Linked DNA regions of Saccharomyces cerevisiae S288C. The gene in region 3 interacts genetically with the main gene of each other region. Each region holds a gene or a part of one and is shown on either strand. Other genes may lie near its edges. The genes, in order: HXT3, HFL1, SEN54 and YCR102C.

Evidence for each region.
Region 1: mutations in SEN54 (region 3) and HXT3 together harm fitness more than expected from each alone (negative genetic interaction), as found in Saccharomyces cerevisiae (one large-scale study listed by BioGRID).
Region 2: mutations in SEN54 (region 3) and HFL1 together harm fitness more than expected from each alone (negative genetic interaction), as found in Saccharomyces cerevisiae (one large-scale study listed by BioGRID).
Region 4: mutations in SEN54 (region 3) and YCR102C together harm fitness more than expected from each alone (negative genetic interaction), as found in Saccharomyces cerevisiae (one large-scale study listed by BioGRID).

The regions. Positions count from the first base shown.
Region 1 is NC_001136.10:1,158,779-1,167,237, forward strand, and holds HXT3 (hexose transporter HXT3), read right to left. Parts: upstream 5,883-8,459; coding exon 4,179-5,882; downstream 1-4,178. Other genes in the region: hexose transporter HXT6, read right to left, coding at 830-2,542; YDR344C (uncharacterized protein), read right to left, coding at 3,228-3,671; SVF1 (Svf1p), read right to left, coding at 8,436-8,459. UniProt on the Saccharomyces cerevisiae protein: Low-affinity glucose transporter.
Region 2 is NC_001143.9:526,370-534,136, forward strand, and holds HFL1 (Hfl1p), read left to right. Parts: upstream 1-4,576; coding exon 4,577-5,833; downstream 5,834-7,767. Other genes in the region: histone chaperone NAP1, read right to left, coding at 1-271; FMP46 (putative redox protein), read right to left, coding at 461-862; TRK2 (Trk2p), read left to right, coding at 1,446-4,115; MRS4 (Fe(2+) transporter), read right to left, coding at 6,181-7,095; sphinganine kinase YSR3, read right to left, coding at 7,698-7,767. UniProt on the Saccharomyces cerevisiae protein: Vacuole membrane protein that recruits ATG8 to facilitate the degradation of vacuolar integral membrane proteins during early-stationary vacuole turnover (EVT) when cells enter stationary phase.
Region 3 is NC_001148.4:393,186-401,433, reverse strand, and holds SEN54 (tRNA splicing endonuclease subunit SEN54), read left to right. Parts: upstream 1-3,328; coding exon 3,329-4,732; downstream 4,733-8,248. Other genes in the region: MOT1 (DNA-binding ATPase), read left to right, coding at 1-2,954; BRO1 (Bro1p), read right to left, coding at 4,862-7,396; COPII coat assembly protein SEC16, read right to left, coding at 7,780-8,248. UniProt on the Saccharomyces cerevisiae protein: Non-catalytic subunit of the tRNA-splicing endonuclease complex, a complex responsible for identification and cleavage of the splice sites in pre-tRNA. It cleaves pre-tRNA at the 5' and 3' splice sites to release the intron.
Region 4 is NC_001135.5:300,657-308,503, reverse strand, and holds YCR102C (uncharacterized protein), read left to right. Parts: upstream 1-3,036; coding exon 3,037-4,143; downstream 4,144-7,847. Other genes in the region: seripauperin PAU3, read right to left, coding at 329-703; YCR101C (uncharacterized protein), read left to right, coding at 5,474-6,022; EMA35 (Ema35p), read left to right, coding at 6,283-7,233; YCR099C (uncharacterized protein), read left to right, coding at 7,205-7,672.

The DNA.
Region 1 (8,459 bases), on a different chromosome or scaffold from region 3:
CAATAAGTTTACAGCCTACAAGATTTTCTTCCACTAAAATATATTCGAATAGGACTTTGGCCAAAAACTGTTCATTAAGGGGCAGACTGTTCATGTTTTCTCGCAAATTACCTTTTTAACAAGGTGAAATTATTTTTTTTGGGGAATGCTAACTGTTTATCATCTGCCAGGAAAGAAAACTTAGATCCTCTTTACCAATCGCCGCCAGTAGTACATCATTTCTTATTAAATAAAAACATTTTCATATCATTAACCCTTTTTCAAACATATATGGGATGTAGTTTGCCAAGGATGATCATAAAGGCCTAATATGATCCCCATTTTCTTTTTATTACCAAAAATTCAGGTTTATTGACAAGCCTTCTCTACTCTGTCGCAATGCCAGTTTAACATTGAGGAGTTTAGTAGCTTCATTGTAATGAGGTGACTCTATTTAATTTCAGGTAGAAAAGCGCAGTACCGAGGTGAGCCCTGCATATGTACACTGATTGTGAAAAGCTCCGGCTCATAATTAATTTTTTTGATGAATTATAGAGTACTTTGTTTATAATAGAAGACTTTTTTTTTCCTCCTAAGGTAGCTTATGCGAGAAAGAGCGCCTACTTCGCTTCTAGCGCTACAAAACAATAACTTTGAAGGGTAAAGCTGTTAACTTTTCTTCAAAGCTTAGAAAAGAAAAAAAATTAATAAAAAATTATACTTCTATTGGCAACATCTTGCCATACAATATAAATCGTAAGGGTTCATTAAAAATATAAAATCAGAATTAGAGTGCATTTCAAATGCACAAATTAGAGCGTGATCATGAATTAATAAAAATGTTCGCAAATTATTTGGTGCTGAACATTCTCTTGTACAATGGCTTATCATCGTGAGCCATTTCTTCAGCGTCGTAGTTGGCACCTCTTCTAGATGGTGGAACCCATGAGGCAGACTTCCATGGTAGAACACCTTCTTCCCACATGGTGTTGACTTCTTCCAAAGTCAAACCCTTAGTTTCTGGAACAACTAACAAAACATAGAAGAACATGAAGACCAAACAGCCCATGAAAACGTAACCGTAGTAGAAGTTAATAGCACCAGTAATAAATGGAGTGAAGAAACCAATCAAGAAACCCCACAACCAATTAGCAGCTGTAGCAATAGACATAGCCTTAGACTTGACTCTCAATGGGAAAGTTTCAGAAACAACGACATAAGGAATTGGAGCCCATGTAGTAGCAAAACAGAAAATATAGAAACAGGCAAAGACAATCATACAGTTACCAGCACCCTTGGAAGATGGTTGGTCTTGACCATTTGGCCATAATCTGGTGACACCCACGGAAGCATAGACAACCATACAAGCAGTCATGGATGCAGCACCCCATAGCAAACAAGTACGACGACCATATCTCTCAACAACGTAAATACCAACAAAGGTGGAAGCAAAGTTAACAATACCCAAGACAATAGAGGTTTCGAAAGAGTCACTCAAACCAACAGCCTTGAAAATAGTAGTACCATAGTAGAAGAAATAGTTATCACCTGTCAATTGTTGTAGAGATTGAATCATAGCACCCATGATCAAACGCTGAAGGACCTTTGTCTTGCTACTAAACAATTCACCCCAGGATGCATTACCAGCTAATTTCTCTGCCTCTACACCAGCCAAGACAGCTTCGACTTCAGCCAAAACAGATGGATCATCAACAGCAACCTTGTTAGAAACGGCAATAGAACGTTTGGCTTCTTCGATCTTACCGACTTCAGCCAAATAACGTGGAGACTCTGGAACAAATGTCATACCACCAATCATAAACAAAGCCCAGGCAAAACACAAACCTAATGGAACTCTCCATTGCACAGAGTTGGAGTAGTTCTTAGTACCGAAGTTGGTACAGTAACCCAAGAAAATACCGGCAGTAATCATCAATTGGTAGCAAGAGACTAAAGTACCCCTTAAATGCTTTGGGGATACTTCAGAAATCAACATAGGAGATAAAACGGCAATACCACCAACACCCAAACCGGAAATAATTCTACCGATGAAATATTGGTACCATTTGTTGATAGATGCAATTTGAATAATAATACCGATGATGTAGATGACAACAACGACAATCAAACCCACCTTACGACCGTACATATCACCCAATTTGGAAAGAATAATACCACCAATGGCACAACCAATGTTGAAAATGGAGACAATCAAACCAGTTCTAACCTTAGACAAATAATTAGTACCATCTTTATGCTTCATACCAAATCTTCTGATGAAATCGGTTTGATTGATGAAACCAGAAATGGTACCAGTATCCCAACCGAAAACGAAACCACCAAAGGCGATCATGATACACATAATAGAGACAGTGACATAGGCAGAAGCTGGTCTCTTTGGAATTTCAACGACAGGTTCGTGCTCTTCACCTTCACCATAAGCTTTTATTTCATCTCTTTCAGCCTTGTTTGATGGTGTAGATAAAACCGAGTGGGAGGCTGAGTCAACAGCAGAGAGATGCTCCACAGGAGTTTGCTCTGCAATAGCAGCGTCTTGTGACATTTTTTGATTAAAATTAAAAAAACTTTTTGTTTTTGTGTTTATTCTTTGTTCTTAGAAAAGACAAGTTGAGCTTGTTTGTTCTTGTTTTTTTATTATTAAAACAGAAAAATTGGAAAAAAGAAGAAGATAGTTACAAACCATATGTCTTTTCTCGAGCTCTTTTTATATGTTTCTGTGCTTTCTATATTGTATACCCATTTGCTCTCCATTGTCTGCAAGCCAAAATCTGCATACAGATCCGAGACATCTCTTGGATTTTTTTCAATGAAGGCACGGAGGGCATCTGAATAATCTCAATGAGTAAGAAACGAAATTTTTTAAGGAACATTTTCAATTTGCCTACGGACTATTCTCTGCAAAGTTCCAATAATTTCTCCTTTTTTTCCAGCGTTTAAAGGAAAAAAACTGGTTTTCGATGCCGGGGCCCCACAATGTACCTGCACTTTTTGTGGGGTAAACGTGGATAAAACGAATCTCCGTTGCCTAAAAAACATTTTTTTTCGTACGGTCCCCTCTGCGTTCAGGAAAAAAAGAGATCGGGTGGTGAGGCTAGGTAGCGTAGCCCCTTGGAGAAGCATATGAAACATTTGTCTTGGCGCCGCACACAGGAACTGCGCACTTCTTTTTGTCCTAGGTTGCTTATCACACCATATGGTGCACCCGTGCTCGTTGTCACTGCCTTTTTTTAACAATTCTTCCTTTGTTCCTCTGAAAGCACGGGCCGGCGCACTCCAATTACCCCTACATTAATTTCCAAGTAGTAGCAGGGGGATGAACATGTGAACATGTTGCAACAACTGCGGTGTCTTCTTAGGCTTGTGTTCGGAATTTCTTCCTCCTGTTTCGGTGTGTGTTGCTTATTTTTTCCTTGCCCCTTTGCGGCATCACAGCAGCCGTTGTTCCGTATTCCGGCTGATAAGCATGGAAAGATTTTCCAACAATACTCATGAAAAAATGTGTTGGTGTCTGAGTAAGCTAAATTTTCCCAAATTTGATGCCATTCAACCCGAAAACTTAAAATGTAAAAGGGGTTGAGATAGTGCAGCTGTGTGGCAAAAGTCAAAAAAAATCTGTTCCTTTCAAGGAAATGAAAAAAGGAAGGAAAAAATGTCCAGGACAGAAAGGCCATCCCCTTAGTAAAGAAACCTGCTTAGAGATTCTTGAGGCTCGAAAATGGTTGGTGGTTGGACTTCTTTTGAGTTTTCCGTCCGGATTTCAAACGAAATCCATCATCACGTTCCTAGCAACAAGAGGATTATTGGACGATTGTCGGGAGTAAAGATTACTCAGTTGGTTTTCTAACTCTACTGCGCACTTCTTCGTGGGTATAACAAATTGCACACACATACATTCTTATTATTTGATACTGCTTACGATAACCGGAGACTTCTTTTTTTTCCTGTTCGGCTCTCGCCGATGGTATGAAGTTAAATGGTAGAAAAATTGTTTGTTTTGTTTACAAACTGGATCAAGAAATGTTAAAATTCTGTTTGATATCATGTACCAATGTCTTTTATTAACTGTATCAGAGAATTATATATATAAAGTCATAAATCTTGTGTATTATTTATCATTATTGACTAGCACATCGAATCTTAAAATACACTATTATTCAGCACTACGGTTTAGCGTGAAATTATTTCTTGCCGAACATTTTCTTGTAGAATGGCTGGTCATCATGCATCAATGCATCAGCATCGTAGTTAGCACCTCTTTGAGATGTTGGAACCCATGAAGCAGACTTCCATGGTAGAACACCTTCAGCGTACATATCATTGACTTCTTCCAAAGTCAAACCCTTAGTTTCTGGCACAAAGAAGAAAACGTAGAAGTAGGCGAAAACCATACAGCCCATGAAAACGTAACCGTAGTAGAAGTTAATAGCACCAGTAATAAATGGAGTGAAGAAACCAATCAAGAAACCCCACAACCAATTAGCAGCTGTAGCAATAGACATAGCCTTAGACTTGACTCTCAATGGGAAAGTTTCAGAAATAACAACATAAGCAATTGGAGCCCAAGTGGTAGCAAAACAGAAAATATAGAAACAGGCAAAGACAATCATACAGTTACCAGCACCCTTGGATGAACCATTACCTTCACCATTTGGCCATAGTCTGGTGACACCAACAGAAGCGTAAACTACATAACAGCAGACCATACCAATGGCACCATATAACAAACAGTTACGACGTCCAAAACGATCGACAGTGTACAAAGAACAACAAGTAGAGAAGAAGTTGACGACACCGAAAACAATAGAAGTTTCGAAAGAATCACTCATACCAACAGCGTTAAAAACGGTAGTACCATAGTAGAAGAAATAGTTATCACCAGTCAATTGTTGTAGAGATTGGATCATGATACCCATCATAGTACGCTTAAACATGGCCGGCTTACCAGTGAACAACTCACCCCATGATGCTGAACCAGCAGCTCTAGCTTCTTCAACACTAGCTTCAATAACTTCCAACTCTTGTTGAATGAATGGATGGTCTGGGGCAACCTTGTTAACTTTGGAAAGAGATGCTCTTGCTTCGTCAATTTGACCAGCTTCAACCAAATAACGTGGGGATTCTGGAACGAAAGTCATACCACCGATCATAAACAAAGCCCAGGCAAAACACAAACCTAATGGAACTCTCCATTGCACAGAGTTGGAGTAGTTCTTAGTACCGAAGTTGGTACAGTAACCCAAGAAAATACCCAAGGTAATCATCAGTTGGTAACAGGAGACTAAAGTACCTCTCATTTCCTTAGGAGCGACTTCAGAAATCAACATAGGAGATAAAACGGCAATACCACCAACACCCAAACCGGAAATAATTCTACCGATGAAATATTGGTACCATTTGTTGATGGATGCAATTTGAATAATAATACCGATGATGTAGATAACAACAACGACAATCAAACCCATTTTACGACCGTACATATCACCCAATTTAGCCAAAATAATACCACCAATGGCACAACCAATGTTGAAAATGGAGACAATTAAACCAGTTCTAACCTTAGACAAATAATAACTACCATCTTTATGCTTCATACCGAATCTTCTCAAGAAATCAGTTTGGGCGACGAAACCAGAAATGGTACCAGTATCCCAACCGAAAACGAAACCACCGAAGGCAACCATAACACAACAGATAGACACAGTGACATATGCACCTTTACCTGTATTTGGGTTGGTAAGTACTTGGTCGGCCTCAGCTTGGAAATCATCTTGAACACCTTTTTCTTCAGGCATGTTCATTACCTGAGAGCTATTCGAAGGCAGGTCAGCATTCGAATTCTCACTTGACTTTTGTGGAGATATTAAATCTGGAGTTGAATTCATGATTGTTTAACTCAGATGTAAATTTTGTTTGTGATTCTATTATTTATGAAAAGCTATTAAGTAAAATTATGGAATATTCATGCTGAAGATAAAACAGCGCCTGTATTTATATGCAACCCCCAAGCGAAAAAAAACTTTGACTTTTCTTCTCTTCTGGAGAAATTCTCTGGGGATATAGTCCCCAGATTTTTTGAGTGGGCCCCCAATGTCCCACATCGTTATTGAGTTGTTTCTTTCTCCAGAAGGTCGTTGTACAGTCATTATAATGGCGGTCAGTATAATGACCTCCGGAAATACCAACATCGGGGAAAGCGGAAAATCTGGAAAAATTCTCCACGAAGCTTTCTCTGTGATAATCCGCGACCGAGAGTTTAACCGAATCCGCGGAACGAGATATTCCGTGTTTATTGCGGTATTATATGAGCCGGACGAATCCGGAAAAACTACGTGACAGGAACGATGACCGGGCAGCAGGCGAAGCTGGAAGAATATAGCTAAGAAAATGCGCACGGAAAAAAAACACTCCCGAATTTCTCCGTGAAAAGAGCCTACTAGGGGATAATAGTAGGTATCCGTTAATATTACCGAACTATTGAAAACCTACCAAATGCAAGAAGATGCAAACGAGCTAGAATGTTCCGCGAATAGCTCATCTTACAATTTTTTTCTTTTTTCAAGAAAAAGAAAGTATTTTTTTTTCCTTTCATTTCATTGCTCCTCCTCCAGGTGTTATCTCGAGAAGATGAAGGCTGTCTGCGATGACGAATAGGAAAGAAAAAATTTTCCTTAATTTTGCTTGCTTAATTCTTATACGAATAATTCTTCTTAATCAACATCGGGCTTCATATTTACCAACACGCATTATTGATTAACAATACTTGCCTTAGGTTGAAATTGGACGCCGGAAGAGAATTTATAGCTAGTCAGTGTTCTTCGGCGTAATTTTATTAATGGACATACAGTGTACTTTTCAAACTACACCGCCATTTGATATACCGGTGTAATTTTTGATGAAGTGTCAGAATTAGCCGCACAGTTAATTGAACACTTCGCTGTAAGGTGTGGATACAGATTAGATAAGAGCATTAGGCACCACATTTCTTCAGGCTTTTCCTGATGCTGGTTTGGATATTGCCTTCATCCCGCACCAAAGCTGGCGTCCCGCATGAGGAAAATGAAGAGTTGTAAGCAGCACTAAATTCCGAAATTAAAGGGCGGGCGGATGCCACCAGTAAAATATTCTTGATCAATCTTTGATATTTTCAAATGATCTCCCATTGTAATCTGAGAACTGCTCTTGTTTGGCTACGTAAGGCAGTATGAGGGTTGTAGTTAGTAGTAACCCTGTCTAAGATTCCCGGTGCTATGTACTTCTCTCACAATAATACAAGTAGTGAATGTCACTTAATAAATTTTTGTAATAAAAAGTCTACAAAGTTTGTTTGTGACTTGTCGAAATTCAATTCTGTTGCTTTCATTTTTCTGTAGAGAAGAAATAATATTCCGACAAAATGTAAATAAATATGCTAAAGTGGGTTACGACAAATTTCTTGAGAGCCATTGATTTTTGCTATAGAGGCATGAAAGCATACTGCACACACATCCAATACTTAACTTTGGCAAATGAGGAGCCTAATTACAGAGATAACTTCAAACTACATAAAGAACCAAGATACTAGTTAATGGAACGCCTAGACGATCATGCTTAACTGAACGAAAAGTAACTAATGAAATACAAGTCTCTTTTCGCCGAAATTTGAATTTAACAAGTCTAGTATACCCATTGTTAGTGCATTTCTCCGTGTTTTGAGACGCTTTTTTTACATGCTTCTAAATAAAGGCATCATCCATGCTCGGCAGCCGTAGAAAATCATTAGCCCCTAACTTCCAAAAATAGACTGCGCGCTACGTGAGACGCTTACTTCAGCTGTAGTATCCTAACGTGAAGGTTTTTTTAATTTACCCCATAAGGATCGCGTCAATAGGATCGTTTCCATTTTCCGACTTTGCAGATTAGATGGATCCCTAAAACGAAGTGCATAGTTGCGGTATTTTGTATTTGAGCCATTTAAAATAGTCTGGAAGGTTTTCTTTTTGATTAAATACATTTGGTGTTTCATTAAACCTGGAACAATACATATGATCACTTCATCCCGATAAATACCAAGCCCCAGGAACGTACTTACTCCTACCAGCACCTGTATTATAACCTTTTCTGAGAGTTCTTTTGTTTTGCTTGCAAGGGTATATTTCGCAGATATCCACGAAAACTTTATTCATTTGCTCAGGCTATATTACATTATATATATATATGTATGGATACATAAGAAAAATGAGATGAATAAAAACGACAACTATTTATTATGGCAACATTGTTTACTGTGGCTATTTCTCGCATCACTCTTATTTTGAACAATAGTATCGATTATGTGACGCAACAATTAAAAAGGGGTATAACGATAACTTGCTATAATTATTAAAATTTGCAATATTAGATTTGTGTAGTATTAAATCACAGATAGGAAAAAGCATACGAGACCTTCCCACTTTTGCTCATGCTTCATTGTAAGACTCCTC
Region 2 (7,767 bases), on a different chromosome or scaffold from region 3:
TCTTGGGAAGACCCCCCACATACCCGCTGTCCTGGCCCACCAGCGAGCCAAGTCTGTCCTGGATGGACTGTAACAACAGGGGTTGGTTAGCCAAGATGTCCTCCTCGTTGATGGTGCCGATCTTGTCATCCTGCTCCTGTGCCTGGGCCCTAACTGGGTTGCCGTTTTTCAAATAGCTCGGATTCAGAACCGATGCTGGGGTATTGTGAGGCGTAGGGGCGTTGTCGATTTGCATCGACGACTTGGGTTTCGTTCTGATAGGGTCTGACATGATCTTGCGCTTTGCTCTTGGTCCCACTGGGCTCACTAAATCCTCCTAATCTACCATCAAACTGCCATTTTTGATCCCAAACGCTGCTATTTAAAAGGAAAAATTTTCCCAATTACGCGGGTAATACAAAAAAGATATAGCCCATTGTTATAAAAATATGTATGTGTTCAATATAGTGGTATATAGGTGTTATTTGCGCTGAATGATGTACTTGTCAATGTCTGCGGGCTCATTTCCCACCAACTTGTTTTCCCAGTCGACCCAAAGCGCCTCCTTTGGATTCCAAAGTCCCCTCTGGACACACTTCTGCAGGTCCATCCCGAACGTCGGGTCTGTGTGCTTGTATTTGAGCACTGAATCCAGCTTTGGAATCTGCCTTTGCAACGAAACTGGGCCTTGCGGGCACGAAGTTCTCATGTATTGCAGCTGGTCCCACGTGGGAAAGCGGTTGGCGATTTCCACGTCGAATCGATGAGAGACGTCTCCCTTCAGCAACTGCAGGCATTTCTGCGACTTGATATTGGACGCGATGTCATTGGTAAACAACGAGATGGTACGTGGCTGTCTCTGCAATGTTTTCCAAAACGACATTTATTGCGTTTGCGTTTGCGATCTCCCGGTCTGTTATTTTCATTTGCACTTTTCTTAACGTTCTCTTTTGGTTTTATATGCCCCTTTCCAAGCTGGGTGGATACCCCGTCCATTGAGTGCCCGTGCCCAATCAAGCTAAAGCCAGACTAAAAAGAGGAAGAGTTCAAGAACCATCAATGCCTCCAGCACAATTTCACAACAGCTTGACACTTTGGCAACGGTTATATCAGAGCATAGCGACGGGATTAGAGAGATGCAAGACGACGGAAGAAAGAAGGGAGTGCCCGGCATGCGCTGAAAGCGCCCTGTAGTACAAGCGTACCGCCGTTGAATAGGCCATGGTACATCACACGATGATTGATAATTTGATGCAAGCTGCCATGCTCAGATGGTTGTTTCCCGTTTCTCTCTTTCACTTTTGATCTCCTGCGAAGAATAGGATGAGATGTGAATTTTCGTTTCTAATCCCCTCGGCCGTGCGGCTGAAAAAGAGAAATGATATTGGAATAACTAGGTTTCAGATGATGAGAAAAGAGGCTATTTTGTACTATTCACCGACGATAAGAGGCTGTAAGAACCACTCATGCCAACAGCTAAGAGGACGTCATCCAGGGCTTCGTTGGCACTGCCCTTCCAGTTACGGTTGGTGCACAAGAAATCATGGGGCCATCGGCTAAGAGACTTCATTTCCGGGTTCTTAAAATCATGCAGACCCATTGCTAAATACGTTTTCCCCAACTTCATCGTGGTGCACTATATCTACCTGATCACGCTGTCGATTATCGGGTCCATTCTGTTATATCCGTGCAAGAACACGGCGTTCATCGATGTGCTATTTCTGGCTGCTGGAGCGTCTACACAGGGCGGGCTGGCCACCAAGAGCACTAACGATTTCAACCTGTACCAGCAGATAGTGGTGTACGTCATTACATTGCTGTCCACGCCTATACTTATTCATGGGTTTTTGGCCTTTGTCAGGCTGTATTGGTTTGAAAGGTACTTCGACAACATTAGGGATATCTCCAAACAGAATTTTAAACTAAGAAGGACCATGACGTTGCAACAAAGGGAACTATCGGGCAGCAGTGGCAATGCCGCTCGAAGTAGGAGTTTCAAGGACAACCTGTTCCGTGGGAAGTTTGTTTCCAGAGAAGACCCACGACAATCCGCTTCAGATGTGCCGATGGACTCTCCTGACACGTCCGCATTGTCCTCAATCTCACCGTTGAATGTTTCCTCCTCTAAGGAGGAATCCAGTGACACGCAAAGCTCGCCTCCAAACTTCTCAAGTAAGCGCCAACCCTCAGACGTTGACCCAAGAGACATTTACAAATCGATAATGATGCTACAAAAACAACAAGAGAAGAGCAACGCAAACTCCACGGATTCTTTTTCGAGCGAGACCAATGGACCCGCTTTCATTGTGCAGGAACGTCATGAGAGAAGAGCCCCCCACTGCTCACTGAAACGCCATTCTGTCCTGCCATCTTCTCAGGAATTGAACAAGCTAGCCCAGACGAAAAGTTTCCAGAAATTGCTTGGCTTGCGGAGAGATGAAGGTGACCATGACTACTTTGACGGTGCTCCTCACAAATATATGGTCACCAAGAAGAAAAAAATATCTAGAACGCAATCATGTAACATCCCAACGTATACTGCTTCACCGAGTCCTAAAACCTCAGGCCAAGTAGTTGAAAATCATAGAAACTTGGCCAAGTCGGCGCCTTCATCTTTTGTTGATGAGGAGATGAGCTTTTCACCGCAAGAGTCTTTGAATTTACAGTTCCAAGCGCACCCGCCCAAACCAAAACGACGTGAAGGTGATATAGGCCACCCCTTCACCAGAACAATGAGCACCAACTATCTATCGTGGCAGCCAACCTTTGGCAGAAACTCCGTCTTCATTGGACTCACAAAGCAACAAAAGGAGGAACTCGGCGGTGTCGAATATCGTGCTTTGAGATTGCTGTGCTGCATTCTCATGGTATACTACATCGGATTCAACATTTTGGCGTTTGTGACCATCGTTCCATGGGCCTGTACGAGGCACCACTACTCAGAGATTATTAGACGAAATGGAGTTTCTCCAACCTGGTGGGGGTTTTTCACTGCAATGAGTGCATTCAGCAACTTGGGTCTGTCTTTGACCGCTGATTCAATGGTTTCCTTTGATACTGCGCCGTATCCGCTGATTTTCATGATGTTCTTCATCATCATAGGCAATACAGGCTTCCCAATTATGTTACGATTTATCATTTGGATCATGTTCAAGACCTCGAGAGACCTATCTCAGTTTAAGGAAAGTCTTGGGTTTCTCTTGGATCATCCGCGCAGGTGTTTTACGTTGCTGTTCCCCAGCGGCCCCACATGGTGGCTGTTTACAACTTTAGTCGTCTTAAACGCTACGGATTGGATTCTTTTCATAATTCTGGATTTCAACTCCGCTGTAGTAAGGCAGGTTGCTAAAGGTTATCGAGCTCTCATGGGCCTCTTCCAGTCTGTATGCACAAGAACTGCTGGATTCAACGTTGTTGACTTAAGTAAATTACACCCGTCCATTCAGGTGTCTTATATGCTAATGATGTACGTTTCGGTCCTGCCGCTGGCGATTTCCATTAGAAGAACGAATGTTTATGAGGAGCAATCGTTGGGACTATACGATAGTGGACAAGATGACGAAAATATCACCCACGAAGACGATATAAAGGAAACAGACCATGATGGCGAATCCGAAGAGCGAGACACTGTATCTACAAAGTCCAAGCCGAAGAAACAGTCCCCAAAATCGTTTGTTGGTGCTCATTTGAGGAGGCAACTCTCTTTTGATTTATGGTACCTATTCCTTGGATTATTTATAATATGCATATGCGAGGGCAGAAAAATCGAAGACGTTAATAAACCTGATTTCAATGTCTTTGCTATATTGTTTGAAGTTGTTAGCGCTTATGGTACAGTGGGTTTGTCATTGGGTTACCCAAACACCAACACATCACTATCTGCCCAGTTCACCGTATTATCGAAGCTAGTCATAATTGCCATGCTAATAAGAGGAAGAAATAGAGGTTTACCATACACTTTGGATCGTGCCATCATGCTGCCAAGTGACAAACTGGAACAAATTGATCGTTTACAAGATATGAAAGCTAAGGGTAAGTTGTTAGCCAAAGTTGGTGAGGATCCAATGACTACTTACGTCAAAAAGAGATCCCACAAACTGAAAAAAATAGCAACAAAGTTTTGGGGGAAGCATTAAAATCAAGTTTACCCCTCTTTACCTACATAAGAGCCAACGTAATTTTCTCTCAGTATTATATGTATTATCTCCGAAGTTTATTATTCTTTAACGAAATATAAAAGAAAAATAAGAAAGATTAAGACCCTAAAAGGTGTACCACTACGATTCAACAAGCACAACGAATCCTATCCGTAATATACTTTTGATTTCTGACTATTCTAGAAAAATTTTAGTTCATTTTTTTTCCCTCTTTTTACTTATTGTATTTTTCACAATTGAATTGCATTTTGTCCCCTACGAAAAAAGGCAGAAAACGAGATCTAAACCACTTTCAGATCAGAATAATAATAATAATAATAACCAACCAAAGCCATCAACAGGTCCACTAGAAGCATCTGCCAAGTTACGACCTAAGCAAAGGTTTGAGTGAAAAGTGAATTGCGACAGTACAATCACAAAAGTATAGAAACATAATTGTTATGGAAAACAAACTACTTTGTTGGTGGTTGTACTGGCCATGCGTGTATTCATCTATTATAGCTACCATAATATCTTTTTACACCATAACTAGACACTTATTAAATTACCGTAAACCATATGAACAAAGACTATCCATACGGATACTATTGCTCGTGCCCATTTTTAGTGTGTCATGCGCAAGTGGCATAATTAAGCCTGAAGCAGCTCAATTTTATGTCGATCCTATCAGAGAATTTTATGAAGCATTCGTTATTTACACTTTTTTCACATTTTTAACACTACTACTAGGAGGCGAGAGGAACATCATTACTGTTTTAAGCTTAAATCACGCCCCCACAAGACATCCGATACCGCTAATAGGTAAAATTTGCAAACCGATAGACTTATCTGATCCTTTTGATTTTCTTTTTGTCAAAAAAGGCATATTACAGTATGTTTGGTTCAAACCATTTTATTGTTTTGGTACATTGATATGCAGTGCATGGAAGCTACCCAAATTCGAAATATTTTTGAACGTTTTTTATAATATTTCAGTGACTTGGTCACTGTATAGTTTAGCACTATTTTGGAAGTGTCTCTATCCGGAATTAACTCCTTATAAACCATGGTTGAAATTTTTATGTGTCAAATTGATTATTTTTGCCTCTTATTGGCAGAGCATCATAATCCAGGGTCTAGTGGTTACTGGAAAGTTGGGTACGGGAAACCAAGATCGAACCTCTGGATATGTGTACAAGAATGGGCTCCTGTGTATAGAGATGGTGCCTTTCGCCATCTTGCATGCAGTAGCTTTCCCTTGGAACAAATACACAGCATTTAGCATACCTTATGGGGCCAGGATGAAATTCATTTACGCTTTGAAAGATTTTCTTGGTTGCGGTGATCTAATATGGGATTTTAAACAGACTTTGTTTGCTGGTCCCTTGTACTATAATTATAGGAACTTCGATCCTGAAGCCATGGATCTATTAAGCACTAGACAACAATCCGGTGCGACTATGGAAAGACTAAAGCATGGGCTAAGATTTACTGATAATGGAAGAAATAGTTATTGGGTGGCATATGGGAGTATAGATAACAACCTTGTTCCGGAATCAATAGAGGAATCATGGGAAGATGATATTGCTGGTCAGAGAACTTTTCCTGAGGATCCAAATTATCCGGTTGTTCACGACTACACGATGGGCCATCGATATAGTAGATCAATGAATGATTTAAGAAGAGATGTTCAAAGTAGGTCATCAATGGCTTGTTAAATGAGTCGTTAAATGTACGTATATACATAGTTACTGCGCTTTCGGTTATATACAAAATAAAACAACATCTACAAGCAATGCTTTTTTTTCAATTATTGTAACTTGGATGCTTATTCTAATAAAATGAAATAAATGCTACTGTAATTTTTTGCCGGAGGATTGGCTATATATGCAGAGTGGGAGTTGGACGATATCACCATTATTATTATTTTTCTATTATTACCATTGGACTTGTCTTTTGCAGCAACAAAAGTGGCAGCAGCAGCAACAGCACCACCACCAATGCATTTTGGCCTTGCCTTTTATAAGTTGTCAAAAAAAGTTGACCTCGAAAAGGGGAAAAAACATCAATTTTTCATTAAAAAATGCTTAGCACATTCATATGCAGTCCAAGAAATGGCAGTGGCTGGTATATTAGCCACTATCCTTGGTTTCAAACCTCGCCAAAACCCCTTCCAACCATGAACCTCCAGTATGGCTCTTGAGGCTCTACCAAAAGTGTTCGCATCCTTCATTATTTCGATGGAGACAGTTTCGCTGCCTCTAACCTGTAATACAGTCTTTATGCAATCCAACGGTGTAGTTAACGCAGCACATGTTGCACCACTTATCCCACCGCAAAGACAATGAATCAATGGATTGTAGGAATTTTGTGGGTTGAAGAATTTGCTGGCAGATTCATATATCATGAAATTGAACGCTGCAAATGGGATATTCATGGCCAATGTTGTGGGATAGGAGTAGTAAAATGCTGCAAAGCCTTCATTTTGATATATTTGCTTAGTAACATTCCAAACTCTTAGATTAGTATCCAATTGTAGTCTTTGTTTAACGGTGTCAAAGGGGTTCATCAATGCATCCGCAGCAATGGTAGCAATGGTACCACTCAGTGCGGTCTTCATTGGTTGATGAGTTTGCATATCTTCAGGGCTTATCAGGCGAGCTTTGCAAAACTCGTATGTACCAAAATATACTGCATGCGCAGGCCCTGCCCCCAGTATTACCGATTGAACACCCTTCCATAAAGCCATCGAACCTTCCATTGTAGATATTTTGGATATCTGAGATATCATCCCTGTAGAGGCAGCTTTATTCAATCCTGCAGCCTGCACTCGGGTTTTCAGAGCATCTATTGGAAACATCAAAGAATGCTCCATTATACCTGCAAATGCTCCTGCCAGTAACTGGGAATGTAGCGGAGCATGTGATGGAAGAGCTTCGTAGTCGATTTCCTCAGCTATTGACAGTTCTGAAGTATTCATAATATTAACTGATATTTCGGTTGAGTTTTTTACTTCTTCACTTTGTACTTCTCACGAAAGTCTTCGTCAATAAACCTCTGATAAAGTGAAAATTCTATGAGATTCCAATAAAACCTCCAAATATCTTTATATACAGCTTACTACTTAGATAAGATGACGTTCGCCAATGGTAGGCAAAAGATAGCAGGGTGTTCTTGCCTTTCAGTCTTCGCCATGCTCTCATTCAAGAAAGGGTGCCAAAATACCGAAAAGAGACACGATCGGGGGTGTCAAAGTAGCGATTCCTGTGGGTTAAAAGAGGGTGAACCACGGCAAACATGCATGTGTAAAACCCAAAACGCCGATCTAGGGCCTGCGACGCATGGTACGAACATCCTGAAGGTATATAAAAGAGCTAAAGTCTTGACTCATGCCTGAAATCTTGATTTTTCATTGTTATATCCTCTCTATACATTAGTAAGCACCATAGATGGGCTGGCTATCAAAAGCGAGAAAAAAAAAATGCTGAATTCCAAATATGTACTCATCGGGGTGAATTTCAATGATGTGTTATGTAGATACAATATATATGTATAAGTCACTAAATGCATACATACGAGAGTCTACCTTAAGTTTGTCCAAGTGAAAAAAACTGGGCATAGCAAAAAGACGGTTGTAGGTATACCTGCGTAT
Region 3 (8,248 bases):
TGGCCAAGAAGCCATTAGAAGATTCTAAGCATCGCGTGTTGATGGCAATCAATTCAGCCAAAGAATCCGCAAAACTTCGTACAGGCAGCATTCTCGCTAATTACGCATCATCCATCTTGTTATTTGATGGTCTACCTCTTAAATTAAACCCCATTATCAGGTCGCTAATGGACAGTGTTAAAGAAGAAAGGAATGAAAAGTTACAAACGATGGCCGGAGAATCGGTCGTACATTTGATTCAGCAACTGTTAGAAAATAATAAAGTTAATGTGTCTGGTAAGATAGTCAAAAATCTCTGCGGATTTTTATGCGTTGATACTTCAGAAGTTCCTGATTTCTCCGTAAATGCAGAATATAAAGAAAAAATATTGACGTTAATAAAAGAATCTAATTCGATTGCCGCACAAGATGACATTAATCTCGCAAAGATGTCGGAAGAGGCTCAACTAAAAAGGAAGGGTGGGTTGATTACGTTAAAAATACTATTTGAAGTTCTTGGGCCTTCTATATTACAGAAACTACCTCAGCTTAGATCGATTTTATTTGATTCATTATCTGATCATGAAAATGAGGAAGCAAGTAAAGTTGACAACGAGCAAGGTCAAAAAATAGTCGACTCATTTGGTGTACTAAGAGCTCTATTCCCATTTATGTCTGATTCGCTACGTTCTAGTGAGGTTTTTACCCGTTTCCCTGTTTTATTAACGTTCTTAAGATCAAACTTATCTGTTTTTCGTTATTCAGCTGCAAGAACTTTTGCTGATCTGGCTAAAATTTCCTCCGTGGAGGTAATGGCTTACACCATACGTGAGATTTTGCCTTTAATGAATAGCGCTGGTTCTCTATCCGATCGTCAAGGGTCCACGGAGCTTATTTATCATTTATCACTTTCTATGGAAACCGATGTTCTACCTTACGTCATTTTCTTAATAGTTCCACTTTTGGGTCGCATGAGTGATTCGAACGAAGATGTGAGGAATTTAGCTACAACAACATTTGCTTCTATCATCAAATTAGTTCCTTTAGAAGCTGGTATCGCCGATCCAAAAGGACTCCCAGAAGAACTAGTGGCAAGCAGAGAGAGGGAGCGTGATTTTATCCAACAAATGATGGATCCTTCTAAAGCTAAGCCATTTAAATTACCCATTGCCATCAAGGCGACTTTAAGAAAATATCAGCAAGATGGTGTTAACTGGTTGGCATTCCTGAACAAATATCATCTACATGGAATATTGTGTGACGATATGGGTTTGGGTAAAACATTACAAACCATCTGCATTATCGCAAGCGATCAATATTTGAGGAAGGAAGATTATGAAAAAACGCGTTCTGTTGAAAGTAGAGCCTTACCATCTCTCATAATATGCCCCCCATCTTTAACTGGCCATTGGGAAAACGAGTTTGACCAGTATGCTCCCTTTTTAAAGGTTGTTGTGTATGCCGGTGGCCCAACTGTCAGATTAACTCTGAGACCACAGTTAAGTGATGCTGATATTATTGTAACATCATATGACGTAGCTAGAAATGATCTCGCAGTCCTAAACAAAACTGAATATAATTATTGTGTTTTGGATGAAGGACATATAATTAAAAACTCTCAATCAAAACTTGCTAAGGCTGTTAAAGAAATTACTGCAAACCATAGATTAATTTTAACCGGAACTCCCATCCAAAACAACGTTTTAGAATTGTGGTCTCTGTTTGACTTCTTAATGCCGGGATTTTTGGGAACGGAAAAGATGTTCCAGGAAAGGTTCGCAAAGCCAATCGCTGCGTCAAGAAATAGTAAAACATCATCTAAGGAGCAGGAAGCAGGTGTACTGGCTTTGGAGGCACTACATAAGCAAGTTCTACCTTTCATGCTGAGAAGATTGAAGGAAGACGTTCTATCTGATTTACCACCTAAAATTATTCAGGATTACTACTGTGAATTAGGTGATTTACAAAAACAACTATACATGGATTTTACTAAAAAACAAAAAAATGTAGTTGAGAAAGATATTGAAAATTCTGAGATTGCTGATGGCAAGCAACATATTTTCCAAGCTTTACAATACATGAGAAAATTGTGTAATCATCCAGCTTTGGTCCTTTCACCAAATCACCCGCAATTAGCGCAAGTACAAGACTATTTAAAGCAAACTGGTCTAGATTTACACGATATTATCAACGCTCCAAAACTGAGCGCATTGAGAACATTACTCTTTGAATGTGGTATAGGTGAAGAAGATATCGACAAAAAAGCAAGCCAAGATCAGAATTTTCCTATTCAAAATGTCATATCACAACACAGAGCCCTGATTTTCTGCCAACTAAAAGATATGCTAGACATGGTTGAAAATGACTTGTTTAAAAAGTATATGCCCTCCGTAACCTATATGAGGCTAGATGGAAGCATTGACCCAAGAGACAGACAAAAAGTTGTTCGGAAATTTAACGAAGATCCCTCTATTGATTGCCTACTGTTGACCACCAAGGTCGGAGGGCTGGGTCTGAATTTAACTGGTGCAGACACCGTCATTTTTGTAGAGCATGACTGGAATCCAATGAATGATCTACAGGCAATGGACAGAGCACATAGAATTGGTCAGAAAAAGGTTGTTAATGTTTACAGAATTATTACGAAAGGTACGCTTGAAGAAAAAATCATGGGTTTGCAGAAATTCAAAATGAATATAGCTTCTACAGTTGTTAATCAGCAAAACAGTGGATTAGCATCCATGGATACACATCAGCTGCTTGATCTCTTCGACCCCGATAACGTTACCTCACAGGACAATGAGGAAAAGAATAATGGCGATTCCCAAGCAGCCAAGGGCATGGAAGATATTGCCAACGAGACTGGTTTAACTGGCAAAGCCAAAGAGGCCCTCGGTGAATTGAAAGAGCTATGGGACCCATCTCAATACGAGGAGGAGTATAATTTAGACACCTTCATCAAAACTTTACGATAAACAAATTCTTGCATTGGAATGACGCGTATACAAGGTCATTTTTGTTTTATTTAACGCATTTATGTATTATCAACTTGTAATATAATACGGTATATTAATGGAGTCTTATAGAATTTACGGGTATATTCAAATCAGTATTGATAATGTTTTCATATTCTCTTGTTAAAATTCAGGTTATTAGCTGTCTATTGATTATGGCTTGGACTTTTTTTTTATTTTATTATTTTTCATAGTTAAGTTGCGCCAAAGGGAAACTAGAAACAGTTTAGTCGAACTCTGCAGAGCTTCATCTCAGTATGAAAAATTATTCATTTGAGCTATCGAAACGTTTGGATATAAACATACATAAAACCTCTGTTCTTCTGCCAATTTAAATGCAATTCGCTGGGAAGAAAACTGATCAAGTGACCACATCTAATCCGGGCTTTGAAGAAGAAGAAGAAGAAGAAGAAGAACTACAACAAGATTGGTCGCAACTCGCATCGCTCGTTAGCAAAAATGCTGCTCTTTCACTTCCAAAGAGGGGTGAAAAAGACTATGAACCAGATGGGACTAATTTGCAAGATCTGCTTCTCTATAATGCAAGTAAAGCCATGTTTGATACCATATCAGACTCAATAAGAGGCACAACAGTAAAATCTGAAGTAAGAGGATACTATGTTCCCCATAAACATCAAGCCGTTCTACTTAAACCCAAAGGCAGCTTTATGCAAACGATGGGAAGGGCTGATAGCACAGGCGAACTCTGGCTTGACTTCCATGAGTTTGTTTATTTGGCAGAGAGAGGCACTATTCTTCCTTATTATAGATTAGAAGCAGGCTCTAACAAAAGCTCAAAGCACGAAACAGAGATTTTACTCAGTATGGAGGATTTGTATTCGCTGTTTTCATCGCAACAGGAAATGGACCAATATTTTGTGTTTGCTCATTTAAAAAGGTTGGGTTTTATTCTAAAACCCAGCAATCAAGAAGCAGCAGTCAAGACTTCCTTTTTCCCATTGAAAAAGCAACGAAGTAATTTACAAGCAATCACTTGGAGATTACTTTCATTGTTTAAAATACAAGAGTTATCGCTGTTTAGTGGTTTCTTCTATTCTAAGTGGAATTTTTTTTTTCGTAAATATACGACTTCACCACAGTTATACCAGGGTTTAAATAGGCTTGTTCGTTCCGTGGCTGTACCAAAGAATAAAAAAGAGCTATTGGATGCACAATCTGATAGGGAATTTCAAAAGGTAAAGGATATTCCCTTGACATTTAAAGTATGGAAACCCCATTCTAATTTCAAGAAAAGAGACCCCGGTCTTCCTGATTTCCAAGTTTTCGTTTACAATAAAAATGACGATCTTCAGCATTTTCCTACCTATAAAGAGCTGCGATCTATGTTTTCCTCACTTGATTATAAATTCGAATTTTTAAGCGAAATCGAGGATGATGACGATTGGGAGACAAACTCCTACGTTGAAGATATCCCACGAAAGGAATATATTCATAAGAGGAGCGCGAAATCTCAAACTGAAAAAAGTGAGTCGTCTATGAAAGCAAGTTTTCAAAAAAAAACTGCACAGTCTAGCACGAAAAAGAAGAGAAAGGCGTACCCACCTCACATACAGCAAAATCGTAGATTGAAGACGGGATATCGGAGCTTTATTATCGCTATTATGGATAATGGCCTTATTTCGTTTGTAAAAATGTCCGAGGCTGATTTTGGATCTGAAAGTGTATGGTATACACCTAATACTCAAAAGAAAGTAGATCAAAGATGGAAGAAGCATTAAAGGGACTTTTGCTAAATCGCAGTTTCTTTATCCTTGCAAAACTGGCTTTCAACAAATCCGGTATATATATAATTATCATATTAGTTGAAAAAAAAAAGCTACAATAAAATTAAGAAATAAGAAATGCACCTAACTGCTGTATTTGGAGTACATATTTTCATCAAAAACAGAGGGTCTATTGTAAAAGGACGTAGGATTCTCTTGCAGTTCACGTTCTTCGTTTTCAACTGCTTTACGTCTTCTCAAGTCGTACATATCCTCTTGCGATTGTTTCGGTGGTACTGGTGGGGCTGCCATAGTAGGCGTTGCAGCATATGGCGAAGCTTCATAAGTTCTTGGTGGAATACCGGGTCCTTGAGGTAAATCACTGCCGGCACTTATTTTGAGATTTTGAAATTGGTCCCCTAAATTGAGCCCTTGTCTAGATAATGACTGAAAGGCTGCACTTTTTTGGGGCAGTAATGGAGGACCCCCAACGACAGACGCTTTAGAATCAAGTGGAGGGAGGGGAGGAGCGGGAGAATTAGCTGTTGAATCCTCGGTCTGCTTTGCAACTCTCACTCTTTCTGCTAAGTCTCTACTCATATTGAATAATGAATCATAGAACTCTATTCCTTTTGGCAAGTCGGATGCAAAAATACTGAATGATTTCACTGCTTCTTGCAGCTTATCAAAAAAATTCTTACGATCTTCTAAAAATTTTTCTTCCCCAGAAGATTTATCCTTGAAATTTGAAAGGTGAAAAATTTCATCTAGCTTGGCTTTGATGTCATCTATCATTGAAGATTGTTTGTAAATTGTCGCCTCTATTCTTGTGCTCAAAGGCTCGAATTTCTCCAGTTCCACCTCGAATAAATCTTTGAGCTCAACATCGGATTTCCCCTTATTAATAATTAATAATTTTGTGATATCATCGTTGTTGATTTCGTCTCTTAGTTCAGACAAATTTCTCGAACGTTCCTCTTTCAATGTTCTTAAGTCTTCCGCATGGCCCTTTACTTGTTTTAACAACTCTAATATCTTGTCGTTTTTGGTATCATCGATATCCAATAGGCTAGGTTGTGGAGGCGTATTGCGATTAAATTCGTCAAACTTCTTCCATATTTTTCCATTGTCATTCAATAGATTGATCTCGACAATATGTGGTTTTACGCATGCGAACAATTTTTCGTCTGAGTTTGAAGCAGCTACTAAAGAAGATTTTAGTTTTGTAACATTTTCTTTTTGATCATTGGGTAAGGCAGAAAGGATTTCTAAAATTTGTTTCCTTTTGAAAACAATTTTGTTCATCTGTTCTTCTATATCCCTAAATTCATTTGTTTGGATAAATTTACACCATGTCTGAATTTGGTCCCTCATCAATTGTCCCTGTGTATCCGTATTCGAGAAAATATTTCCGTCACTAAATTGTTTTTCCAAATCACTCAAGAGCCTGGGTAGATTTGTAAATTCGATGAAGGAAGAATATTCCAAATTTGCTGTCTCAGTTTCTTCAACTTGCTTTCTCAACAGCGTCGCTTTTTCTTCTGAGTAAATACTTTCCTTTTCATAGACATCTAGGGGAATAATTCCTCTGTACAAAGAGTCACATTTATTTGCAACATCTTGCATATATGGTTCTAATATCTTCTCCCATGTTGGAGATTTTATTGCATCGAGCGCCTTAATGGAATCAACCTGCACAACGGCTGGAACGCTTTCATGATATATAAAATCGTTATCTTTAATCAACTCCTTTTGTTTCTTTTCTAAAGTTTCTTTAAACCCATCAAAGTCTATAAATTCCACTAACCACGTTTTGAATGGAAGGGATGAAATCAATTGTTGCATAGAAAAATCGAGAAAAGCAATTGCTTCGCCAACTCTATTTTCTTCTTCAAGGTGTAAACCGTGATAATAAGCGCTTAACGATTTGTAGAAATGCAGTTTGCAAGTAACTGTCGTTTTCCATTTGGGTTCACCATAAATGGCCACATCGTCATCTATTTCTTTCATAAAATCGTGACATTTCTGAAAGAGGTTACACGTGGCTCTAGAAAGTTTACTGATTAATGTATATTGCTTGGATGATATTTGATCATTTAATAATTTCAAGACAAACAATTCTTGAGCTTCTGCATGGCAAATATTAGCCAGAAACCTAGTGTTTTCTGACTGAAGATCGACTGAAGGTGAGTTCAAAAAATTTTCTGATAGATATTCAAAACAGGAAAAAGCTTTTGTCAAATTTGCGATTGAGTTTTTGTAGTCCTCATTGATATTCTCCCTCGCAATTTGGGTAAAGATTACAGCAATGTTGAACAAAGTACAAGACTTTTCAAATGCTAACGTATGTTGCGTGTATTTCAATCCTTTCTGGGCCGATGAGTATTCTGCGTCATACCAAGTGAAATCCATTTTTAATCTTGATCCTTTGCTACCCAGGCGAAAATAAAGATGCTCCAAAAATGAGTAATATTTTAGATTTTGTTCCGACAATGAAGAAGGTGCTAGTTCTCCATTTGCATTATTCCTTAAGTGATCCAGTTCTGAAGTAGCTTTCTCATCATAAAATGTTCTCCATTGTGAGGAGCCGTATGATTTCTTGAGATATGAGGAGAGGCCTTTTTTCCAATCCAGCTTCTCTGTGTCTTTTAGCTTTAGGTCAAATAAGTAAGGTTTCATGAGTAGAACCAGTGAGTAATGAACCTAGTAATGCTCCAGTCAGCCGCTTTCTGATTCAAGATTTTTCCACGACAACCCCCTTAGTACTTCTTCGAATTGTAACTGAAGCCTTGCTTGCTTTCTGTTTCTCGGTGATCCTAACCCGGAACCGGCGTCCTGCATTAATCGAAGCAAGAAAATGAGGTATGATAGAATAATATTAGTATAAGCAAAGTTTCAGATCGCATTCATCTGATTTCTTACTGACAACGATGCATAACCTAAATACGGATTCCTGTAATCATTGTTTTAATAAAATTTACTACGGTTTTTATAAGTATATAATATACATCAAGAAAAGGGAAGGCATAAGGGTACCATGAAAGAAAAACGTATTACTATAATTATTGTATGTTATCCATTACATTAACATAGCCTCTCGCTGTTTTCTTCTTCCTTCTCGTACTTGCTGGTTTGGGTCCTCCTGCCAAACTCAATAAATCATCCAAACCGTTTGCCTTTTTGCTAGTCAAGTTTACGCCAGAAATCCTTGATATGGGAGAGGATGGTGATGGAGAATTGTTTGGATTGGGTCCTGTAGGAGAAGGGGATGTTTTGATCGGCAAAGGCTCACCAGTGATTGGATTGTTCGGAATAACTGATGTGGCATGTACTGGAGGTAGGGAATTATTGATGGGGCCTGAACGTGGCTTTGTCTTTGGGCCGCCATCTTTACGTTTCACGATTGGAGGAGGTGGTGGTGCCGAACTTTCAATAATTTTTTGTTTTTCCTCTTCGGTTGCGTCCTTATTCACCCAACGTTTCAATTTTTCATCATAGTATAGTGTGTTTTTATGACCTAGCTTGGCCTTA
Region 4 (7,847 bases), on a different chromosome or scaffold from region 3:
CTGAAAAATAAAGAAATCAATTTATTTTCGTGGGAGAAATAAAAGCAACAGAGCCAAACGTATCAAACTTCAGCACTACTCATTAAGAATATATGCAATAATACTGGATAGCACTTTCAACTGCTTCCCCAGAAGGATAGCCTAGAAGAAAGTTTCTTTTCCGTTGTTGATGCACCTAAATAATGTCGTCTTGATCAAATATAGGCTTATAGTATTGATATATGTTTATATAGTCAACTGTATTTATATCAAAAAAAAAAAAAGATTTTTTTTTTATTCTTTCGTTATTTTTCAATGTCTATGGAAGTTCATTAGTAAAGGCATGTCTCTATTTTGGAATAGCAGTGTAGATACCGTCCTTAGATAGAGCACTGGAGATGGCTGGTCTCAATCTAGTGGAGTACCATGGGACACCAGTGATGACTCTGGTGACTTGTTCAGCTGGAATACCAGTCAACATAGTGGTGAAGTCACCATAGTTGAAAACAGCTTCAGCAATCTCAACTGGGTAGGTCTCAGTTGGATGAGCTGCTTGAAACAAGTAGTATTGAGCCAAATGAGCTCTGATATCGGAGACGTAAACACCCAATTCGACCAAGTTGACCCTTTCGTCAGATGGAGATAGAGTGGTAGTGGCTGGGGCAGCGGCAATACCGGCAGCGATGGCGGCAACACCAGCAGCGATTGAAGTTAATTTGACCATTGTATTTGTTTTGTTTGTTAGTGCTGATGTAATCTTAACAAGAAATAGTGAAATGAAAGCGCATACCTCAAAGGCATATAGTTGAAGCAGCTCTATTTATACCCGTTCCTCCATCTGTCATCACTACTTAAACGATTCGTTAACAGACGCTCATTTAGCACCTCACATATCCTCCATATCTCATCTTTCACACAATCTCATTATCTCTATGGAGATGCTCTTGTTTCTGAACGAATCATACATCTTTCATAGGTTTCGTATGTGGAGTATTGTTTTATGGCACTCATGTGTATTCGTATGCGCAGAATGTGGGAATGCCAATTATAGGGGTGCCGGGGTGCCTTGAAAAACCCTTTTACGCGCGCCTGTGAAGTTTCCGCTTTCGGTCAAAAAGAATATCCGAATTTTAGATTTGGACCCTCGTTCAGAAGCTTATTGTCTAAGCCTAAATTCAGTCTGCTTTAAACGGCTTCCGCGGAAGAAATATTTCCATCTCTTGAATTCGTACAACATTAAACGTGTGTTGGGAGTCGTATACTGTTAGGGTCTGCAAATATGTAAACTCTCGGCGAATGCCTTGGTGCAATTACGTAATTGTAGCCGCTGAAGGCGGATGGTATTGAGAGAAGTTGATGTTCAAAGTATCGTGTATGATAAAAATAGAATTGTAACCAGTTCGTAGTAGCAGTATTAAAACTTTGATTCCGAGATGTAATCCCTCTTTTCTAGCCAGATATGAAGGAAAAAAGTGTAAGGGTAGTTGAGAGCGCTACTTTATTTTATTCTATTTTAAAAATGTTCTCTAGGAGAGGTGTATTAATAGTTGGTACTCCATGTAGCTTCTAAGTCAAAAGAAATGTCTCTATCTTTATGGTAACGGTTCATCGTTAGAGCTCAATTGTGCTTCTTGGATGTATTTCCAAAGTCCCACGTTTAATAACCCACACAACATAAATGTCCTTGAATATAAAAAATTTCGAAAGCTCCCCGTAAAGAATGCTTGATAATCAGCTCCATCAAAGAAATACTTTTTGTTCTTCCAAACTTTTCCTCTCAGCAAATACATATTTATTTCCTTTGCAACCACTTTCTAGAGAATTCATAATAGTTGATAAAAAAGGCATTTTGTCTTCTATGTTCATAATTTCAATTCTTGAATTTTGGAAATCGTGAAATGTTTCGAGAAACCGCCTTCAATAATTAGAAAACAAAATAAAAGATTACAGTTAGGCCACTCAAAAATACAATTCAGATAAGAAAGGTGCGATAGTGGGGAATAAGAATTGGAAATCCGCTTGATAATCAGGGAAAACTTAAAGAACGGGGTGTTAAAAGTCTGTGAAGTATAGATCAAACTCGCACTAGCTAGCAATACTCATGAGAACCTAGGTGAGTGTAAAGCAGTGAACCTTCTTTAGAAAGCAGAGAAAAATCCTCCAAGTTAACAGTCTTCCATACTTACTCAGTATGGATCAAGTTCCACAGTTTGTCCACTTCTGTAGAATAAACTTGTAGTGCTTTTCCGATGAAAAGGGATAGAGTCTTTAAAAGACTTGATCTTGGCATTTTTATCCTCCTTCAAGCAGAATGGCTCCAGTAGAGTTGTTCTGAACGCTTCTGGGCAGTGAGCAGCATTGAAGAAAAAGTACTCAGCATTCCAAGCTTTGTCTTCATATAATTATAAATTAAAACTCATAGCCACCAATTTCCAGGTTTTGGTCGCAATATGCTGCAGAATCAATGGCTTGTTTCGTTACTATACTGGTCCGACGGAGTTTACTTTACTCTAAATTTGCTGAAATAGCAAGGCCACACGCCATACAATTAACAATAGTTCATTCAGTTGAAAGGTTTCCGAGATAGAAAGTGCGGTAGTAGAGAAGAACAATAAACGTATCAAACTTTGCGCAGTCATGGAATTTCCAGGAAACATTTTTAGGTTTTCATATGACAGCAGTTCCTGTCCGAGAGCTGTGCCTTTCTTGTCTCAGCTGACTAAGATGTCTCGGATCCGCCCGGCTGGCGCGCGGCTCCGTCTAGTGGGATAGGCTTTCAACACATAGGAAACCCTTCAGATGATGAGAACACATCGAATCCCAGAGAGTAATATCACCAAGAATAAAGCAACCATGATAGACAATATTACTAAGTGTTCCTCAACAGATATTGAGAAAAGTTCTTATAAAGCGGGCAGGCTTTTTTCTATTTTTTTCTTTTTCTTTATCTAGCTTAAGATCCTTCTAACCATATTCTATAAAATGGCAAGCTGAATACAGATTATCAACGACAATTACATATAACCTACAAACAGGCAAGTTGCAATTCCAGAAACCATGAAGGCTGTCGTCATTGAAGACGGTAAAGCGGTTGTCAAAGAGGGCGTTCCCATTCCTGAATTGGAAGAAGGATTCGTATTGATTAAGACACTCGCTGTTGCTGGTAACCCGACTGATTGGGCACACATTGACTACAAGGTCGGGCCTCAAGGATCTATTCTGGGATGTGACGCTGCCGGCCAAATTGTCAAATTGGGCCCAGCCGTCGATCCTAAAGACTTTTCTATTGGTGATTATATTTATGGGTTCATTCACGGATCTTCCGTAAGGTTTCCTTCCAATGGTGCTTTTGCTGAATATTCTGCTATTTCAACTGTGGTTGCCTACAAATCACCCAATGAACTCAAATTTTTGGGTGAAGATGTTCTACCTGCCGGCCCTGTCAGGTCTTTGGAAGGGGCAGCCACTATCCCAGTGTCACTGACCACAGCTGGCTTGGTGTTGACCTATAACTTGGGCTTGAACCTGAAGTGGGAGCCATCAACCCCACAAAGAAACGGCCCCATCTTATTATGGGGCGGTGCAACTGCAGTAGGTCAGTCGCTCATCCAATTAGCCAATAAATTGAATGGCTTCACCAAGATCATTGTTGTGGCTTCTCGGAAACACGAAAAACTGTTGAAAGAATATGGTGCTGATCAACTATTTGATTACCATGATATTGACGTGGTAGAACAAATTAAACACAAGTACAACAATATCTCGTATTTAGTCGACTGTGTCGCGAATCAAAATACGCTTCAACAAGTGTACAAATGTGCGGCCGATAAACAGGATGCTACCGTTGTCGAATTAACTAATTTGACAGAAGAAAACGTCAAAAAGGAGAATAGGAGGCAAAATGTCACTATTGACAGAACAAGACTGTATTCAATAGGCGGCCATGAAGTACCATTTGGTGGCATTACTTTCCCTGCTGACCCAGAAGCCAGGAGAGCTGCCACCGAATTCGTCAAGTTCATCAATCCAAAGATTAGTGATGGGCAAATTCACCATATTCCAGCAAGGGTCTATAAGAACGGGCTTTACGATGTTCCTCGTATCCTGGAAGACATTAAAATCGGTAAGAACTCTGGTGAAAAACTAGTTGCCGTATTAAACTAGATGACGAACAGATATTATTTTTCTTTTGTATACACAGTTATTACGTATGTTAGAGTGACTTGGTTTTTTTTTTTTTAATGAAATTGTTTGTTATTGATCACGCCTTGTAGGGGAAACAGATGAGAACAGTGAAAATCATAACTCATTATGTGATTTGTTGTGCGTCACCCTTCCATGATTATATATCCTTACTATCTACTATCCAACTACTACATATCTATTGAACTCATATGTACCAAGCACATAAAATTATGCACCTATTTCCATTGGCAAAGACTTGGCGAAATTTAATACACTGTAATAATATCCGGCGAAGCTCTTTAAGAATTCTTACCTATAATAGCGGCTCGCTGTCCGAACGATTGCGCCGCACTTTTCTGCCTCTTACATTCCCTTTTCCTAAGGCGATAAGCAGGCTGAATGGAAACTACGATATAACGCAGTAGAGGTCCCCCAAGAGCTGGAAAGAAAATATTGGTTTGATAGCCAGCACTATTCTATCCAGTGGGCTCTTGTACCATTTTCTGTGGTATGGCTTTGATTCAACTGCATACGTAGTTAACGCGATCAGCCGCACATGGGCATTATCATTTTCAGGGGTACTGGTAAACCCTATTGTTTAGAAAGAATACCTGGTAAGCGGGTCTGTCGAGTCTTTCCCACTAATTTTGAAGAAAAAATCTTTACCTAGTTTGAGAATAATCGTGGCGTTCGTAACATCACGAGGTGAGAGAGACCAGTTAGGTAAGGGTATGCCAATAAAAGGTTATTGATACTTCAACGAATCTTCATATTAAAAGTGCCTTCACCAGAATAAAATTCTAACGTCATCCTAAAAAGCATCAATTGGACATAGTGAGGGAAAGTTTTCACCATTTAAAATCTATTCTGCAGAATACCATTCTAGACTATGATCCCTTAAAGATTCCCATTCTTTAAATATACAAATCAGGTTCAACAGCGTATCTTTATGGTATTATCGTACTACTGGCGACATTAGCAAATCCAAGTATCCTAACTAGGTTTCTAGTCTTATCTCTTGGTTTTCTCCATTAGATGGTAAACACGTTACCTTGATGGCTGTACAGGAAGTGAACATGGTCAACTCAAAGTCACCGGACTCAAAATAATTGCAATTACCTAGACTGGATATTTTTAGAATATTATGAGAATATTTTTAGAATACTTGCAACCCAAAATATATTTAAATGCCGCCAATTTGCAACCAAAAGATTATCCGCTACCTTTTTTTTAGTCATTGAATTGTAGCATAAAGTTCCGAGCTTTGAAAAAAAACTTTGAACTAAGAAAAGGTAAGAGATCCTCAATTATGATATTACTTCATGCCATATATACTCTTTGGGTAATTATACTACTTCCGCTACTCAATGCAGAGAAATTTGTCCCAAAAGTAACGGAGGCTCCTATAGAAACATCATTTAATCTAGTGAGTTTTGATGATTCCAACACTTCTATCAGATTAGATGGTTGGGGGGTTGTATGGATAAGTTTCGACGCTGGAGAAAATTGGGAAACGGTCAAAGAAATTGAAGAGCGCATTTTCAGATTTACTGTTGATCCTTTCCATGGACAGGAAAGAGGTTTCGCTTTTATATGTGAATCACCCAAATTCTACATTACCGACGACCGTGGGGAGTCATGGAGGGCTTTAACTATACCCTCATCAGAAGAATATTTAGATGGCGACTGTTTTATAACTACTCATCCTAGAAACAAAGAACTTCTTATTGCGAATTGCTATAGCTATATGATAGACGCAGACGTTTTATATGACCCAAGTGAAATTTACTTGAGCAATGATGGGAATCCTTTTTTAAAATTAAACCTTCCTTGGAAAAGAAAAAAGACGACGATATAACAACTTAAAGCTGTCATTTCATTAAGTCTAGCAAGGATTCTGACTTTACTGGTAATGATACTTCGATACTCTGTTTGTTCTCTAACCGTGAATACGATGAAGAATATCGCTTAACTGCTACCTACACACAGTTGGCTTTCAGTAGTGATGGAGGCAAAACGTTTAAAGATTTTGATGAATTTAAAGATAAGATTGTTACTCAATACAAGATATTGAAGTCATATGTGGTCGTTTTAACGCAAGATGACGGGCATAACGAGATGTCATCTACGGACATCTGGATATCCAATGATGCATCTACTTTTCAAAAGGCACAGCTGCCTACTCAATTACGGCACGTCAAAGTGATTAAAATTCGTGAAGATTCTATCGGAAGGATCATCCTTCTTATATCGACAGAAATCACAAATGAGGAAAATGCTGATCCAGATCTCTCAGAGATTTTCATATCAGATTCGCAAGGGTTGAAATTCTCACCTGTTGAATGGACACCAAACCATCAGTTTGGAAATTTTAGGCTCACTTTTCCTGATTTCTTGAAAGGGACAATATTTGGATCGTTTCATCCTTCCATTGACTATTCTAATCACCAAGTAAACTATACTGAAAATATAGCCGGAGGAGAAACCAAAATATCCGTTGATAACGGCCTCACATGGTCAAATTTGAAAGTTGTTGATGAAGAAAATGCCGATTCGTTCGGCTGTGATATCACTAGGCCTGAGAGATGTTCACTTCAGGGTTATTTTTACAATCTAAAACTTTCAAATCCTTCTGCTGGGATCATATTAATGACAGGTTCTGTTGGCGATGACAATGAATTCGATCGGAAGGACCGAAAAACTTTCATTTCTAGAGACGGTGGTCTAACATGGAGGGTGGCCCATAATTCTTCTGGATTATATGCTACTGGTGATCTGGGAAATATTATTGTATATATCCCGTCTCCTTCATATAAAGATGGTGATGTACAATCCAAACTTTATTTTTCCTTGGACCAAGGTAGAACATGGAATCAATATGAGCTTGTTGACGCTTTATTTTATATCCATCCATTAGAGTTGATTAATACAACGCCAGATGGATCAGGCTCAAAATTTATTTTAAGCGGACATCTCATTACTACGGCTAGTCAAGAAGGAAACAACACCAACATCTCATATATTGCAAGAAGTGTCCTGTATGCGATCGATTTTTCTGCTGCATTTTGACTATAAAACGTGTGAAGAGGAAGATTTCGAAGACTGGAATTTGGCAGATGGGAAATGCCTTAATGGCGCCAAATACATGTATAAAAGGAGGAAACAGGACGCCCGTTGTTTGGTAAAAAGGACATTCAAAGATATGATTTTGCATGAAATACCTTGTGACAGTTGTACTGAATCCGACTACGAATGCTCTTCTGAATTTGTTAGAGATGCAAAGGGTGACTGTATACCAGATTATGATCAGATTGCCCTTTCCGATATATGTGACAAAGCTAATGGCGAAACTGTATCATTAGAGCCATTACAATTAATTAAAGGAGATAAATGCAAAAAGCCCATGGAAATTGAGGCCATGAACATTCCATGTGAAAAAATCCTGAGGGAGAGCTCGAATGGTAAGAAAATAGCAACCATTGAAAACAAGTTTGACTTTGAAATTTAATTTTATCAATATTTCGATACAGTTTTGGGTGAATCTTTTATCATGCTTAAGTCAATAGAAGATGCCTACATACCTCACGATATGATGAATAAACAGTAAAAATGTTCGACACTGACGACAAAAAATTGACACTATTCGGGACTGATGTCATATAGAAACATAAGGTCTTACTATT